Linked DNA regions of Drosophila melanogaster. The protein of the gene in region 1 purifies or fractionates together with the protein of each later gene. This does not show direct contact. Each region holds a gene or a part of one and is shown on either strand. Other genes may lie near its edges.

Evidence for each region.
Region 2: the proteins of Hmr (region 1) and HP6 purify together in Drosophila melanogaster (affinity purification with western blotting; one study listed by BioGRID). This does not show direct contact.

The regions. Positions count from the first base shown.
Region 1 is NC_004354.4:10,590,376-10,598,055, reverse strand, and holds Hmr (hybrid male rescue), read left to right. Parts: upstream 1-2,200; 5' UTR 2,201-2,463; coding exon 2,464-2,512; intron 2,513-2,578; coding exon 2,579-5,344; intron 5,345-5,402; coding exon 5,403-5,744; intron 5,745-5,803; coding exon 5,804-6,499; intron 6,500-6,556; coding exon 6,557-6,945; 3' UTR 6,946-7,136; downstream 7,137-7,680. Other genes in the region: CG2124 (uncharacterized protein), read right to left, coding at 7-1,806.
Region 2 is NT_033779.5:4,576,946-4,580,074, reverse strand, and holds HP6 (heterochromatin protein 6), read left to right. Parts: upstream 1-1,856; 5' UTR 1,857-1,971; coding exon 1,972-2,292; 3' UTR 2,293-2,356; downstream 2,357-3,129.

The DNA.
Region 1 (7,680 bases):
ACTTACCACCAGTGGCTGATGTCCCAATTGCCGCAGCTGCCTTAGCTTCATATCCATTTGGCCGGTGAAACGATCCTTATCGCGGATTACGTTGTTCCAGCCGGCAATAACGATAACCACTGTGACCAGCTGGTCATCCGCAGCCTTTCTCTCACCCAGTAAGTGCTTCCGGGTGAGAATCTCACCGCTGTAATCCTGACAGGCCTCACCATTTATGGACAACGCCTTCCGTTGCCGGCGGTCGTAGCACAACACTACATCGCATCGATCGTATTGCGGCAGGATGTGCTTGAAGGTCACGGGACGGTGGATCATGGTGATCGCATCCCGTATTTCCACTAGAATACGATCGGTATTATTCAGCTTGAAGCGTCCGTCCCGATCGGGGATGTACTGCGTGTAATTGCGGCCCATCTGCTGTCGTTGCTTCTCGGTAACCAGTGCTCCCTGGTATTCCGGCCCCAGGAGGCGTGCGAACCCATCCAAATGGAAGTACTCACGCCCGGGCAATCCGCTTGGGTACGCATGCTTCAGGAAACGCGGCTCCAGTGCCACGCCCAAAAGCTCAAGATCGTAAACACCACGCATTGTGAGAAACTGAAGGCAGTTGGAGAAACAACGAGGATGGCGCAGTATCTCCTCTATACGCTGGCGCAGCAAATCGGGCAATCTCTCCGCCAACCGGCGTTCCACTCCCGACTTAGTTGTAATATTGAAAAGGGCCATTACCAGACAAATTCGCTCCATATCCTTGAGGCGGGCAGTCTCTAACTCACGCTCGAATCTCAGCAGTATGCGCTCCACCAGTGCATCATTGCACGTTTGCAGTTCACAGCCCAGAAGAGCCATGTGCAGGCACGTGAGGAGGGAAACGCGATCCACTTGCGACTCTAGAGCGCTTAACATCTTCTTTAGCGGCTCCACTTGTGGCAGCTTGCTGCTGTACCGCAGCACCTTGAGCAGCGCTACCAGGACAATGTCTTCCACGGTGTCCAGCTCGCTGCCTAATCGCTGATAGAGTTGCGTTAGCAGCTCCGGATTTCTGATAGGCGTCTGTGTCTTAAAGAAGCCCATGGCCATTACGCCCAATTCGGACAGCGTCATTTGATCCACGCAGCGGGCCAGATTCAACTCGAAATCGAACATCTCGAAGACGGGTCGGCGCAGTAGATTGCACAGGAACATGGAGTGAACGAGCTGTTCTGGCGGCAGCTTTCGCAGCTTGCGGCCGAGCTTTTTCAGCGCCAGCCACACGTACTCGCCTATCCTGACCAGACCAAGACGATACCAGGCATCGCTCACGAGTAGCAATTGTTCACTGGACCATCGCTCGATGCGGCGACAGCACTCGATGTCCAGGGTATTCCATATCTCCATGTAGTTCTTGGCTTTGGGCGATTCCGGTACGGGCAGCTCGGCCAAGGCACTAAGCGATCCAAGAAGTTGTTCATCCGTAAGGCGATGCAGCTGCTCACAGAAGCAGCGGGTAAAGGCTTCGTAGCGGCTATCGCTGATCTTCAGTTCCATGCGATTACAGTGCCTCACCAGGCCTAAAAAGTCCGCATAGAGATCGGCAGCACTGGCATCTGGCTGTGGCCGCATAAAGCCTTCAGATGCGGGCAAATCCTGCCAGGCGGAGTCCCGAGGACGCAGTATTGCATACGGTTTGAGAGAATCCATCAGGATTCCATGGGCGAACTGATTCTCTCGGTCCGCAAATATTCGCGCTGGTGAAACGATCGTCGTGCATACTTGGCGGCGCAGACGTCCCACACTTCGCCAGAGGTAGTTTGTTCTTGCCCACATGTTTTAGAGCGATATTTGGTTGTAAATTAATTCAATTCAATTGAATTTGAATGGAAAACGCGTTATGAAAACATTCGTTGAAAAACCTGCCGGCTAAACAGCTGACTGGTAAGCAGCGTTGCCAGAACGAAGAAATTGGAGTGCTCGCAAGTGGGAGAACTTAACGAAATATTCTGCTCTCAGCGCTTGGCTGCTATCGATAACTCCACTGATATCCAAATGGGTAGCTACTAGAATGTAGCTTTACAAATTGTAACGTGTTTTTTCAACTTATTTTTGTTTAACTTAACACAAACAAAAATATTTAGCTATACAATTCTATTTCACACTCAAATATTAATCGAATGTTTCGATAACGGTATCCGTGGTCGATAACGCTCTTTAACCATTTTGCGTTTGCAACCGCCGACTATCTGGCGTCGCAAGAAACCTTATTTACGTAGATATATTTACGTAGATACGCTTGCACTTAATAATCCTGTAGTTGCAAGTTGTTCCCAAACTATTTCCGAGTGATTTTATGCTACAAAAGAGTGAAGAGTGAAGCAGTGGTTCCATCGGATTGCCCACCGGTTTCTCCGTTCCGAGAATTCTCGACGGCTTGTGTGGGGGAAAGGCGCGCGTAGGTCAAGATTGGAGCTATCAGGTGTCTAGGACATGGAGGAGGAGCCTGTTGCCATTGAAAATGATTGCCAGATAATTGTTTGTAAGTCCGACAGTTGGTCACCTGGTCAGCCGTTCAACTAACTTCCGTTTTTTTTTTTCCTCAAAGCTGACACAATTGGTCAGAAGACGAATGGCGTGGATGACGATAAGGCCCCAAATCCGTTCAGCAGATGCACTTATCCGGGATCTCGGGATGGCGGCATTCTGCAAACCTATAGGGCAGAGAGGCTGCTCATCGCTTTGGTACGCCGCCAGCCGCTATTGTATGACGCCCGGCATCCGAAATTCCGCGACGTCGCTCAAAGGGAGAAACAATGGAAAAAAATCGCCAGCCGCCTGGCAACGAATGCGACCAACTGCAAGAGATCCTGGTCGGCGCTGCGATATAAATATCAGCGCCATGTTCGTCGTCTAAGAAACTTTCATCGCAGTGCCATCCAAAAAGATCGGGCGGCCCTGCGTTGGCGTCCTTGCATGGAATACGAGGAAGAGATGCGCTTCATGTATACCCATGTGGCCAGATTCCCACTGATTGTCGACAAGATTCCGACAGAGATTCTTGAAAAAGAGCATGTGGATGAGAGCGAAACCCGGCCCGATGTGGAGGTCATAGAGAATCCGCCAATGGACATCATAGATTTGGATGTCGAGGAGGACCCCACCTATAACTACCGTTGCAACAGGTTACAGCGTCGCCTCATAGAGGCAGTCAGTGCCTATCCCCTTCTGTACGATAGCACGTGCACGGGCTATCAGAACACACGACATCGCTTTCTAATCTGGAGTGCCATTTCAAACGAAGTCCATGACAAAGCCACCAAGCTGATGAAGTGCTGGCTAAAGCTGCAGACTCGCTACGAATGGGAGTTAATCCATCGCCCACGTCATATCGGCACTTCGGAGCTGTGTCGGTTGATGGACTTCATGGAACCGCACGTACAGCGCATGCGCGGCACCGTATGCAAGTCTTCCAAGTACCTGCAAAACGGTTGGCACGAGCCCATTGAGAATTTCCACACTGTGATGGCGCTGATCACCACGATGCGCAACATGCCAGAACTAGTTCAGCTGACGGAGGACTCCCTGCACAACAAGGTGAAACCGCCGCGCTACGACGAATTCTGGCAGAAGGTCGGCATGGAAGTGATGTGTAGTCACGAGCACTGCGAGGTCACCTGGCTGGTGCTGCGCGCCTTTTACCACGAATTGCAGGCCGTGCGCTCATCCGGCTATCAGCTGCAGGACAAGTGGTTCTTTGAGGGCTCCATGGGTCTGGCCTTAACGCCAGTTACCTCTCGTTCCACGGCCCGTCCCGCACTAAAGCGGACAGCCAACGGCGCCATACCAGTGGCGGGGGAGCCTCCGGCCAAAACACCGGTGCCGGTACGTATGCCATTGGCTATTGTCTATCCGTCCACCTCAAAAGGCAGCAGCACGAGCATGACCAACAGTGCAAGCACTGCCACAAGCATTGGCCCCACCTTCACCAATGTTAGGAGGTCCTCTGGCCCAGTCATTAACAACACATCCACCGCCGCCGCCGCAACGAACAGCGTCAGTTCGAGTGTATCGCCCGATCAAGCTCTTCCCAAGTTTGTGATTCCCAAAATCACGTCCGCCATCAGTGTGGGCTCGGGATATATGATACCCCTAAAGTTTGTGCCCAACGTACGAATTTTGCCCAAGCCGGCGGCGACTATGGGAACGGGCGTGTCCCCCATCGCCACCACCAATCAGATGGCGGGCCCAAACGCAAAGCCGCCTGAAGTGCGTCCACAGATAACGCAGGGTCCTGGCTTACAGGTTAAGCTCCATACGAAGCCTCAAATGGCCAGTAGACCGCAAATGGCACCTGTAGTCCCCCGCACTGTAATTCGAACAACGAATCCAACCAATCCAGCTCAAACTCAAGACAGGGTATCCGGAGGGCCAATGTCGACACTGGGTGAACTGCTTAGGCCACAAAATCCATCGCAAATACGTTCACCAGCTCCGCAACAAACACTGCCAAATTTTGTACCAATAACAACATCGAATATTACAGCTAAAAGCAATCTGCCAACACCCACTGCGGCTCCAATGGTACGAATACACCAGCCGGGACTGAAAAGCGCTTGGGATGGCAAAAGCAATAGCGCTCCGTTCAGTAAGCCAATAAGATCACTATTAACCACATCTTCGCCTGCAGCTGCTCCTATTGTAGCAACTGCGGAACCAGCGAGAGCAAAAATAATACCACCAAAGCCCAAATTGCCAGCAACAACATTAGTAAACCCCAAAAAATATCAACCAATCGTACCGGTAGCAGTACTACCTACAGCAGCAACCAGGATGGCCAAACCTGCAACAGAACCAGCAACTGAGCTGCCTGTAACTACGCCACCAATCGCCACTGGACAAACAACTCGAGTCATACGAAAAACACCATTATTTCCTACATCTGCAACACAAGCTGCATCTGACTCATATGCCACAATACAGGGCACATTAGCAAGCCAGGCTAAAGCTGTGGGAGCAGCAATATCAGCACCAGTGGTCAGACCAGCCAAATTGCCGACAGTAGCCAAGGCAACAACAGCATCGCAGTCAGATATAAAAGCAACTGCAGCCGCATCCGCAACCCTAGGCAGTCAGCCGGAGAACTTGCCGCTTGGCAACATAACCGTGTGTCTGCACGAGAGTGATACCACTGGGAATGAACTGCAAGTTTGGTGCGGAAATCAGGGTACTCGCTTCAATCTCAATATGATTAGGACGACGACGTTGATCCGCGAGGTGATGGCTGTGCCGCAGCTGCACAAGGAAGATCCACAGTTGGCGGCCAAGTGTGTTGAGTTCTGGCATTTTATCGCCAAGAAGTTTCACATGCCAGGTAGGAGTAACTATATATATATTAGAAACATTGGCTCATACGTTCTTTTGTTCTGCAGAGGAAGCTTTGCGCGCATGCTGGAAATTCTTGGCGGCCAACATGAGTGTGTTTCCAAAAATTGCGCCGATGTCGGAACTGATGCGTCCGTTTAAGTACAGCGAAAAAGTGTGGGAAAAATCGAATCGCTTGTTTGGCAAATTTGACGAGATAGCGCTAAAATACCAGTGGTTGAATCACAAGAACGTGTTGCCGGAAGTAATACGCTTCTTCGCGAAGTACGAGTACCTCTACTGCGATTTACGCAGGCCGCGACCTGGCGAAGATGCTCAAGCTCCGCCCCAGTTGACGAATCAGGAGAAGCAGGAGGTGTGGCGGGAGGCCCGCCTTAAATTCCCAAATCGTATGTTTAATAAATGTTATAAGCCAATCATTTATTAGTAATTTTCTGTTCTTTTGCAGTCAATCATCGGGATATTTGGTCAATGTTTAAGTTCGCCTTCCGCACATACCTGGATGATTTAGAGCGCGGCATCGATAATCCCTGGCCGCAGAATTGGTGGCAGGCACTGGAGCAACTCAGGTTTCTGGTCAATGTGCGCTACCATCCGCTCGAGCCCTACTACTATATAGTGCACAACAGGATGTCAGAGGAGGTGAAGCGCTGCAAAATGCACGAGGCTCTAACGTCCTCCGATCATATCGATAAGACCAAATTTACACCGAGCAAACTTTTAACGGGCTTTTCCAAAGAACCCAAGCCATGGGAGACGGAGGAGGCCAAGCGCTTGCTTACCGGCAAGTTGAATAGCGTGAGAAGCACTGAAACTCTCACTCAAATTGCTCCAGCTCCGGCTCTAGCTTTGGCACCCGATGCCCAACCTATTCCTGTACCTGATGGCGTTTCCGTGTCCAAAAAGACAAGCGAAAGCAAGCCAGCGTCAAACGCCAACGTCAAGTCTCATAAAGACAAGAATATCTCCACCGCCCAAAAGCGGCCGACCCCAGCGAGAAGTGTCACCTGTAACAATCTATCCCCCATTGAGGCGTTTGAGTTGTGTAAGAAATTGCGTAGCCAACCAAACAGCTTCGAGCGGGCGAGCACTCTGGACAAGCGAGCCGCCTGGGTTCGCGTATCAAAGGAGTTGCATGCCACAGGTAATCATTTGCAAATATGTCAATTTAGACATTTGATTAAAAGTACATATTTTGCAGTGACCGAATGCCGCCTTGGTCTGCAGTACGCTCTGCGCGAGATGCGCAATCTGAAGATCGCCGATCCAAGCAATCAATGTACAATGGGCCACAAGTACTTGCACCACATGTCGGAAATCTATAAGCAGGTGAAGCCGAACGCCCAGCTGACAGTCCGCACGCCACAGCAGCTCAACCAGTTAAACGAATCGCTTGCGAAGAACACTCAGGAAGTTAGCCCGCAGGAGTTCCTGCCTGAGATCAATTTGTCCACTTGCAGTCCGGATCTCGTGGTGAAGAATTGGGCCTACGCCGTCGGTAACTTGTCCACGGCCAGTCAGGATACACTGCTCGGCAAGATGACGCAGCTGTTCTCTAAATACGCCAAGGTCAATCCGCCACCGCCTTAGCTCTCGAAACTTTTGGCACACGTAGTTTAGTCATACATATTCTCTGTAAGAACTTTCGCCGTACCATTGACACCCTTCATTGCCACAGAATACATCTTATTTATTATTAAGTGCATGAAATTGCAATAACTTTTTTTTTTTTTTTAAGAGCCCTCTAGAATAACTTGAATAAATGGCCACAGTCAACTTTCATATGATGTTTTGCACTGGGACTGTTAAATTTAAGATTTTAAGAGTTCCTGAGTACCATAGGTATAATACCAAACTGAAACTTGCGCAATAATAAACAGTATCTAATGTTGTTAGACGCTTAAAGTCGCAGAATGATAGCGATGAGGGCAAGGCCCCATGATTATATGTCGGTCAGCCGGCCCCGCCCACTTGTATGGCCTCTCCGAGGACATGAAAGTAAGCCCGAATAAATTGGGCGTGCAATTGGGAAAAGATTTGATTGCCAAGTTCCTGGAGGAGTGGCTAGATAATAAGGCGCACGTAAAACACAGGGGATGATTGTCTAGGACAAAGGAATGGCCAAACTATTTGACGATATACTATTTAAAGGATTTTAGTAATCCTCCCACATTTCTTTCGAAATGACGAACAGTAAACAACGGTTACTTTTTGGCTCTACCACCTTCTTCGCCAAGTTATAAGGAAAATATCAGATTTTCCTTTTTGCAGTTTTTTGTTAAAAAAAAATCACAATTTCTTCGAAAGCAATTAAAATAATTGTCC
Region 2 (3,129 bases), on another chromosome or scaffold:
ATGATCAATATATATTTATCTCCACCAAAACACGACTATTTCACAAGACTAGAACAGATTGGTAGGATCTTTTATCATCGCTGACAGAAGGACACATCATAAATGTGAGGAATTTATAATGGGTTTTTGTTGCCCAGTCACGCGATGATCTCCGCTTGATGGCTTAGAAACCGACCATCAGGCAGAGCCAAGATCTATAAAAAAATTCCCAAGAAATACGTATAAGTATGTATGCATGAGCCAAACCCCTGCGGATTCCTTGGATCGCACTCTAATGATTTCCTGCTTAGGATACTGGGGCTCACCCATAAACCCAAATATGCTGCCGCTTCCCAAGAGCTGTCCCCCTGCCGTCCAATGATTAATGCGCCGATCCTTGTCCGATGCCGATGAGGCGAGAATGGGAATTATGTATTTGGGTTAATGTTACACCGCAGAGCAGCACGGCTGGCATTGCTTTAATTTTGTTTTAACACAAAAATTGCCAAGTACCAGTATTTATTTGATGTGCGCAATGCTGCGATCGGAGCTGTGACTTCGCCTTGGACGGCAATTTCCTTCCGTCGTGGTGGAGCCGCGCATCTTGATCGCCGGGTTCTCAGGCTGTGGCCAGAAAACTGGAATCCCAGAGAACCGATACCATTGCCGACGACGATGCCAGTGCTGCTGGCCATTTCAAAATCTAACTGTTAACTGCAAAAGTTGAACGTACTAGCAGCATGCAACATTCAACGGCTGCACCCACGGCATCAGCAGCATTAACGGCAGTACACTTGAAAAAATATGTTTTGAGAAGGAAAATTATTTCCTATGAAAAACTAATAATATATATGTTCTTAAATATAAAAGCTTTTGGAAAATGTAGAAAAAGTTTATGTTGTTTCTAAATACTTTTGGAATTAATTATTTTTCTGGAATACATACACACCGAGCCAAATATTCTTACACAAAAATCGATTAAATTGAAGAACTCATACATCACTTTCCTCAGTGTATGCAACTGCATCTGAGCGGGCAGCGAAACGAGTTGAAAGCCGTTTTCCCTGTTTGCCAGCCAGCTCTTGAAAGTGGTTTGTTGTCTAACTGCGTTAGTTGCTGCTTTAAATTGTGCGCCCAAGCAGCTCCAGCGGCGTTTAATGGCTCCAACTGGCGACCGGAGACCTCGGCTTTAACTGGCCACCCCGCCACCGACTTCTGTTTCTGTTTCTGATTCCGAATCGGATTCTTTTTGTTGCTGCAGCGGGTTCTCAGGCGGCGTTGGCTAAATGTCATAGCGGCGGATGCACCGAGCAGATTAATCATTAATCACATGCCCATCTGAGAGTACGAGACTTCCAATATGCGGAAATTACTGGCAGCTAGCTGTAGTATCCATATGCCCCATTCCCACCATCCCCATCACCTGGTGGCCGATCATTTCCGCCGACGAGTTGGGTTCCTTTATTTTGCCTTTATTTTGACACTGGGCCAGCAACGGCAATTACTGGCGGCGGTGCCACCGAAAACCCTCCTCCCTTCCGCCCTGATTTATGAGTTTTTAATGAGCGGCCACTTTACACGAATTCAAGTTAACAAGTGGAGCCGCGTAAGAGGCCAATATCGCAAGTAGTATCGCCGGCAATCGCGCCTTGACATTCGAGTCGTGCGAAATGTCAGATGAAGATGCACCAATGATACGCTCAATGGGCGTTGGAATGCACAATACCCTAACTAAATCTGAAAGAATATGTCCAGTCAAGGGGAGTGTACAATTTTATTTCCATTTTCTCTAACGCTTTTCAAATTAATCATTTAGGGCTGCCACATCGAAAGGGTTGCCAAAGCATGTCGATACCTACAGTTATCGAAACTGAAAAATAATATCTCGGTGTGTAAACACTTGACAAAACGTGACAATTGGCTACGCGCGTCGAAAAAAGAAAAATAGATTACATTGAAATAAATCCCACGATATCTAAAACCAAACGGAAGATGCCCAGCTCCACTTTGACGTCCTCTACTGCTCTTCCGGTGAAGCAACGAAATGGATTTGATCTTGGACTCGAACCGTTGCGGATCTTAGGAGCCTGCAACTGGTCCGGTAAGCTGACCTTTTTGATGCAGTGGAAGGGTTGCGACGAAGCCGGCCTGGTGCCCGCCGAAGTGCTCAACGTTCGGTGCCCCCAAATGGTCATCTCGTTCTACGAGGAGCGTATTGTGTTCACGGATGAGGGCGATGAAGAAGACTTGGAGTCGGACAATGGGTATGAGACCACTCCGAGTCCCAGGAAGAAACGATCACGAAATGCCTAGTCCATAAAACTATTGTGCACCGAAGACATTGCGGTGCAATGTCAATAAAGAGTATTGACTCTTCTGCCACGAGTTTTTCTTCATTTTCTGGTCGCCGTTGTCGCTGGTGATTGATTATGCATTTTCATGCGAACTGGTTGCTGATGCTGCACTTTGTTGGCATGCGGGCAGGTGAATAAGTGAGTTTAGCTCGGCCCAGCCACGCCCTCCGCCTCCTAGACGCAGCTTGATGTTGGAGACAGGCCGGCGGCATTATCTGCCGGGCGCGAAATTATACGTGTATGTATACACCGAGCGAAAAGTCTGTAGGGGTATTTGAAAGTTCATAAAAAAAACAGTTCATAAATGGTGCACTTGCCTCATTAAACTTTTTCCAGTGCACTTAATGCTGTCAGTGACCTTCACATCGGGGCGTTGGAAAACCTGCAATTAGAAAAGAAGGTTAAGCCGCAGGATCAGACTCAGCTCTCAGATTCCATGTTGCAGGCGCCTCAAGATTCACGCAGTCAACTAATACGTACATAAAAAAAAGGGTTAAATTGGTGGCGCACCTTTCTTGCAGCGACATTTTGACATTGAAAAAGTATAATTAATTGAGGGGCCCACCAGCAGGTGGGCGTGGCCAGGGGCAGATTAAATCGATTTATGCAAGATTTATGGCAAAAGCGCACAAGAAAGAGAAGAAGCGAAATAAAATGGGGCGCCGCCTGGCATTTCGAAATCAATCAAAGCCCAATTGCCACTCACATGCAAAGTGCACGAATTAACTTGAAAAATTCCCAACTACTGGATGCAATCGACATCGATGACGCGTCAGCATCCGGTCGCAATCTTTTT